Mus musculus: one gene and its partner. The protein of the gene in region 2 interacts with the protein of the main gene of each other region in a pairwise test. Links are inferred from orthologs where the notes say so. Each region holds a gene or a part of one and is shown on either strand. Other genes may lie near its edges.

Region 1 (3,158 bases), on a different chromosome or scaffold from region 2:
GGCATTAACCATATTCTATTAACTAAGCATCACTCGATAGTGTGAAACTGTCCTGTGGGACAACCCTGGGTATTCAACTTCTAATGGACTTCCTTGAAGGACCTCCAATCCAGAATTGAAACAAGATATTCATTCCGTAGACTGGCTTTGAGGGAAACAAATGCCCAGGCTGTGCCTGAGGCCCCAGGGACACTCCTGGAATTGGTGGTGCAAAGAGGTACAATGGCAAGGTTTCAATTGCAGTATCTCTTGCTACTTCTTCCTGCCGCCTCTCTCCTTGAGGGCCAAGTGGATGACAGCACCACTGGCCATGTTGTAGTAAGCCAGGGAGTTGGAATCCTTGATGAAGATGCCCTGGAAGACAGACAAATGTCTTAATGGACACCACCTGTCTTTGACCACATGCAGCCTCACACAACTGAGCTTACTGCTATTCTAGACTTCACTACTATGGAAGCTTAAGGGAAGGTCAGCGAAGTATGGAACTTTGGCTTCTTCTAGAACATCTCTTTTTCCTTCCTTCTTTCTAACAGATGCAAAGTAAGGAACTTTGTCAACATTTGGTTTAGTTTTCAACTTCCCAAACATTAGCCATGACCAAACTAAAAGGCACAGCTGACTTCTCAGGTCAAAAGACCTTTAGTGATTATCTTTTTCAACACCCTATTTCACACAGGAAGAGAGGAAGCCCCAGAAAACCTGAATACCCCTTTGCACCTCCATAAACAACCAGGCTGCCTAAGATCCCATCACTGGTCTGCTCCCCATCCAGAGACCAAGGCTTTTAGACCCGAATTATACTATGCTGTCAGAACCCAGCACTATTAGGTCCACCTGCCCCCGCATTCCAGCTGGATCACTTCTAGGATGGCCTCATCCAGGTCTCTCTCCATCATACTTTCTACAGATTGTTTCAGGGATGGTAGAGGAATTGGAACCTAAGGGGCAGGACCCTTGCTTACTTCATACTGTAGTTTCTGTTTCCCCGCAGGCATGCCCGTGGCTTCATGAATCTTCACTTTGATGACAGAGACCTGTGGGATCACAGAAAGTTCATTCATTCTCTTGTTAAGACCATCTGGAAAAAGCTGACCCAACCCACTGACTCCAAAGCACCTGTACCAACTGGGGGTGGCAAAACATACCTGGTCTGTGAGTGGGAGAGTGAAGACCAGCCCCTGACCATTCAGCTTCCATTCCGTCTTATCCTGCATGTTGGGTACCTGCACTTTGATGGATACTGGACCCTGCAAAATGCAGTGCTCATTATGTCTGGAAAGCCCCAAGCCAATTAGGAACTATGCTGTGCTATCAGTTGCTCATCCAAACAACGACTCCTGCCCCTCTCACCCCTTTACTGCTGATACCAGGTGTGACACTACACAGGCTTCATTTCTTCTTTATTTTTCTAGACAGGCTTAAAGGTAGGGGTCAGGGCTAGCCTAGGCTGACCTCAAACTTCCTGCCTCTAGAGTTCTGAGATTGTAAGTGTATATTATCATACTGTTTCATTCCCATTCCTTAAATATTCCTTAAAATTCCACTGAATTCTGCAAACTCAAGGACCAGCAGGGTAAAGATATGGTCTGTGAAGTACTGGTTTCAAACTCAGCAGACAAGACACCTAAGCTTGCCTGTGTCAAAACAGACTGGTGGGAACACTAAAGAGAATAGTCTGAACCTTTGGTAGGTGTTCAAAGAATAGACACACATTAGCTAGTTTGTCAAATTTATGGGCCAAATCTCTTGGGACTGTCACTGCCTTCTCACCAAAGCCTAACAGCTTTGTCAGAGACCACCAGTACCAATATAGAGTCCTTATTCCAGAATGCCAGCAGAATCCTACTCCAATGAGCACCTTCCCAGAGCAGGGAGAGAGAGATCTGAATTTAATAACTGTGCTGAGCGAGACTTCCTAGAGCTGGTTTAGTGATCTGTCACCTCACTCCTGTGATAATGTCTTAGCAGCCGCATCTCCACAGGAGTCCACACTACCACAAGCTCCCAGCTACTGACCTCACATTACAAACATCCCCAGAAGCTTCGTATGGCTGACTGACATCCCAGGAACTAAAGGCATGGGATAGTACATAACTGGGGCTTGGGTAACCCATGCTGCTGCCGGATACTGCAGGGCACAAGCAGTTTCCTGGGTCACAGACCTTGTTCCTGCGCAGGAATTCTTCCTCAGGCATGAGACTGTCCTCGGTCTTTAGTTTCTTGGATGGAGGCTCATCCTCCATAGGAGGTGGGGGGTGTACAGGAGGCATTGGAGCTGGGGCTGGGACTGGAGCCACAGGTGGGGCAGGCACAAAGGCTGCAAGGACAAGGAACAGTTGCCTAGTGAGTACAGAAGAGGTGAAGAGGCCCAAGAGGCAGGACTAGGGAGATTTTGCCGGGTGATTTCGAGGCTTTGCTCTGTAAGAGGTGTGAAGTGCCATGCCTTGATGAGTCTGTCACTCAGCACATTCCCTGGCAGGGAGCCTTGGGAGGCTGCCCGAATTAGGCAGCAGGAAAGGGGAGGCAGTGCAAGGTCAGCCAAAAAATAGTTATTGTCAGGCTTCTGGACCTGTCAAGGACCCGACCACCAAATGTAGACACACTAGCTATGCCATCTCAGTCTCTTGTCTCTCACAAGAAATATGGCTCCCAGGTCCCAGTTGAGACTTCCTCTGGGATGGATACTCAGTGGGAACAGCCATCATTAAGGCTAACCACAGCTTTATGGACTAACCCATGAGATGAGAAAGCAACACTACACACCGACCTGTTGGCACAATCATGGGAGGTGGGCGGGGCGCCATGATGGGAGGTGCTGCAGGAGGCATAGGTACCACATTGATCCTGGGTGCGTGGATGATGGGTGGCATGGGGGCAATCACTGAGCCTGGGGGCAGCCGGACCACAGATGCCATGGGTGGCCGAGGCATGACAGGTACTGCAGATACAACAGTGGTGCGGACTGGAGGTGGCATCTGAGGGTAGGAGGAGACACATAAGCCACAGGAAGCCAAGGCTCAGCTTCAAGAACACACCAACTGGTCACTCAGGATGGGGGTTGGACAACTTGGACTCTGCTCATCACTGAGACTCAAGTTTCACCTCAGGCCAATGATAGAAACTTGATGCTGAGAGTTCCAGGGTAATACTTTTTACCT
Region 2 (3,914 bases):
TAAATGCTTTCCGAGCCACTTTTTGCTTAAACTATTTTGTACCTATAAAAAAACGAAACCACAATTTTAGGGAAAGGGAACCATGACATTATGGTGAAAGGCCATGCTACAAAAAAGCAACTGGTTTACAATACCTGCAGTGTTCTCCACTGGGGCCTGTCCAGAGAGGAAGATAGCATTCACCTCACCAATGAGCAAGAACAGCAGCTGAGAAGGGGGCTGCCGAGCTAAGAGCAGGCCCAAACAAGAAGCTGCAAATGCAGGACTGGCCAAGCAAATCACGGATTACACAGCTATGAAAGCATAGCTCATCACACCTTGTTCCCATGACTAAAATCTTAAGACTTTCAACAGGTTCATCACTCAGAACAATCTGCAGTAACAATCTGAAGATGCACCTGGATGTAGAACGTGTATTTACCTATGTAAGCTCTTTCCTGTTCCCGAGTCAGTCCAGGGGGTATAACTGTAGGCATGCCTGGAATCACTGTCTTCTGCTCCATTGTGTCTTGGTTCCATCGGCTCCTCTTCCTCTTCTTACTTGGGAAGTCTAAAGACAGACAGAGCCCATCAGGCAGAAATATGAACCAGAAGGCAAGCAGTTCATGATAATTAAAACTAAACTGAAATCACCTAAATTTTTAAAAAGAAAGAAATCTCAGAGGTCAGAGAAAACAAGCAGCCATTTTAAAGATCCTCCTGTCAGGAAAGTTAAGGAACAGTTCACATTTAGTTCTTTTAAAACGAAAATACTAGAGAATGTAACAAGGAACACATTTCTTTTGTAGTGTTAACATCAGAGTTTTTGCATATATTGGGTAAGAGCTCTACCACTGATGCATATCTCCAACTCTTTGGATCTTTTGTTTGTTTTTTGAGACAGAAGTCCCTTTAGAGAACCCTGGCAGTCTTAAACTATGTAGACTGGCATCAAACTCAAAGCCCCACCTTCCTCTGCCTCCAGAGTGCTAGGATTAAAAGCATGAACCATCATGCCCTTGCTTCCAAGACTTAATGCACAGAAACCCAGAATCAGAAGTGTACAGATACATATTATCAATTCTGAATGCCTTAAAGGGCAGAAAAGAGGAAACTGGAATGAGGCCCACAAAGCATTGGAACTCAAGCTACAAGAGTACACAACAAATCTCTTGCTACACATTACTGTGGGAAACATGCCATCCTTCAATATGACCATTCTTACTCGTGGAAAGATCAGTTTTCCTGACCAGTGGACACTTGTCATCAGAACTCTGATTTATTACATTCTTCCCTACATTTACCACACAAGGTTTTCTACTTCTCAGATTACAGGCCCAGAGAAAAAGCCTTTTAAAACAGCACGGGGAAAGCTGGTCACTCTGAGAACCTTCTAGAAAACAAAAGGAGAAAACCTTTAATAAATGATCGAACTCAAGCATCCCTAGTAGCCTTCCGAACTCGCCTCACTGTGAAAGGAGACACTCCTGCCACGGGGCTGCTAAAAACCATCAAGGGAGCCACTCACACCACGTCGTCCCGTGGACCTGACTCTCCTGTCCTCCATAGCAGGAGCTCAGGGGGCAACAGGTGGCTTCTTCCAAAACTACCACAATTGCGCCACAAAGCCTGAACGCCTCACTGCGTCTGCGCGAAGAACGCTTCCTCCCGCCCTTCTGGTTCTCGCGGTGCGCGTGCGCAATCGAAGCCTCCCAAACCAGGCCGCGCGTTCCCCGTGGCGCGTCCGCCCGGGCCTCCCGTGCGCGCGCGCGCGTCCTCGCCGCGTCCAACCGCGGTGGCGTTGCCCCTCCGTCGGCCGGTTCGGTTCGCCCGACGACTCTCGCGCTCTATCGGCCCGACTCACCTCCGCCGCCACCGGGCTGGCCCGGCTGCTGGTCCTGGCGCGGAGGCGACCCTCGCTGAAAAGAGCGGCGGCGGCGCGGGGGCGGCTGCTATGGCGGGTACGAGGCCGGGGGCGGCGGCGGTGACGGCACCGCCGCTAAGGACAAGGCCGTGGTTAGGGCCCCCGGCAGCGGCGTCCCGAGCGCCAATAGGCTGGGCTTGAAGCTGCCTCTGGGCCCAGGAAGTGGGGAAAGGCCTGGTAGGCCCAGCTTACCCAGCGGCGTGGCGTTCGCTCCGGTCGCCATGGCGCCCCAGGGGACCGGCAGCAGCGGTTCCTCGTCCTCCGCGGCGACTTCTCCTTCACGAACCTTCCGGGAGCTGGAGGTGGGGGGGAGGGGACCCGACTACGCGGCTGAAGAGCGCGGGGAGCCCGTCCTCTCACGCGGCGGGCGGCGGCGGCGCCAGACGCACAAAGAGGGAGGAGAAAGGACGCCGCGGGGGCGGGCTCGGGGCGGAGGGGCCGCGGCCTGGATTGGGCCGGCCCGAGGTGAGGTCGGAGGCAGCGGCCTCCGATTGGTGGAGCACTGGCTCTTTTCAATATGGGTCGGGATTGGCCGAACCGTTAGGCCCGGCGACGAAATGGCGGCGGGGCCGGGGGAACTGGGAGGTGTCGCAGCGCGCACTCCTTGTTACTGCGCGGACTGAGGCCAGAGTGGCAGGGGAATAGGAGGGGGCAAAGTCTGTGACGTGAGAGAACGGCTAGCTCATTGGCTGAAACCGATGGAGGTAAGCGCCTCGGCGTCGTAGTGCCACACGATTGGCTGAAACGATTCCCCTCCCCCAGGAGCCAGCCGCTCGAGAATGGAGAAAGCCGGGAGGAGAAGCCGGAACCAAGGCGGAGAGCAGGGGTGCGCATGCGTAGGGAGGGCACGCGTGTCCCCGCCCCCTTCCCCAGAGGGGCGGAACGGAGGCCTTAAGTGACGTTAGTCATTGTGCTAGAGGTAACTAGGGACCGCGGCGAAGGGGCGGGCTCGAGCTGACGAACAGGATACGTCGAAGCTGCAGGTAGAGTAGAGAAAGACTTCCTGTTTTCTCTGAAAAATAGTGTTACGAAATGGCTCAAAACTAGGGTAGTTGGTGGGTGTATTTAAAGACTTTATTTCATTCCGGTACAAGGTAGCCAAGTAGCCTGTCACCCGAGAACTTGAAAGGCTGAGACAGGAGAGCTGACATGAGTTTGGGGCTAACCTGGGGTACAGTATATCTGTCTCAAAAAATCCAGGTTCAATGGCACATACTAACTCTTGTAAAGGAAAAGTCAGGCGCTCCAAGTCCTTCTTGGAGAGGGGAGAGAAAGTCATTTCAAAAGTTAGTCTAAAAGTGTGCACTTCCAGGGAAATCTCAATGCGTTGGAAATTTGTTTCGGGTACCTTAAAATTACCCATAAAAATGGTAGGGAACTTGTAAATGAGACTGAGGCCAAACATTCCTTCCCATGAAATAAACATGAGAGTAATGAAACAGGTTAGCACAACATAATAGAACTGGGGATAGATAGGGTTCTCACAGAGAGGTTATTTAGACCCAGTAGGGGAAACAGTGTTTAATATGTAATTAGAGTGGCTAGAGAAATAGCAGATAAGACCAGGCACTGGCTACTCTTCCAGAGTCCCAGGTTGGATTCCTAGAACCTAAATGGTGACTCACAACCATCCGTAACTTCAGTCCCAGGATATCAGAACCCTCTTCTGGCCTCACAGGCACTGCATATATATGGTGCACAGACTTATATGCAGACAAAACACCCATATACATAAGACTAAGTAATCTTTTAAAATGATGTAGAAAAGTAGACATGTAGACAACAGAAGGTTTGGAGTAATCTAGGAATAAAGAGACTACAAAGATAAGAAACTCAAGTATGGTGGATGGTACAAGTCAACAGACTATGACAGGTAGGGAGGAAATGGCCATAGAACAGAGAAAGAGCAAATGTCTGGGCAGAAAATACAATTGAGTGGTAGAACCTAGCACATGTAACTCCCAGATTACATCAGCAGACATGTGAAAGTAGAAAAGCCAACTGTAATACC

What was found.
Region 1: the proteins of Sf1 (region 2) and Sf3a1 interact in binary tests that used the Homo sapiens proteins (3 or more experiments, as listed by UniProt). The link is inferred for Mus musculus from reciprocal best matches to the Homo sapiens genes SF1 and SF3A1.

The regions. Positions count from the first base shown.
Region 1 is NC_000077.6:4,177,230-4,180,387, reverse strand, and holds part of Sf3a1 (splicing factor 3A subunit 1), read right to left. Parts: intron 2,976-3,158; coding exon 2,768-2,975; intron 2,318-2,767; coding exon 2,163-2,317; intron 1,248-2,162; coding exon 1,146-1,247; intron 1,035-1,145; coding exon 963-1,034; intron 355-962; coding exon 253-354; 3' UTR 1-252. UniProt on the Homo sapiens protein: Component of the 17S U2 SnRNP complex of the spliceosome, a large ribonucleoprotein complex that removes introns from transcribed pre-mRNAs.
Region 2 is NC_000085.6:6,362,300-6,366,213, reverse strand, and holds the start of Sf1 (splicing factor 1), read right to left. Parts: upstream 2,525-3,914; 5' UTR 2,127-2,524; coding exon 2,096-2,126; intron 1,695-2,095; exon of another isoform or gene 1,508-1,694; intron 551-1,507; coding exon 422-550; intron 1-421. UniProt on the Homo sapiens protein: Necessary for the ATP-dependent first step of spliceosome assembly. Binds to the intron branch point sequence (BPS) 5'-UACUAAC-3' of the pre-mRNA. May act as transcription repressor.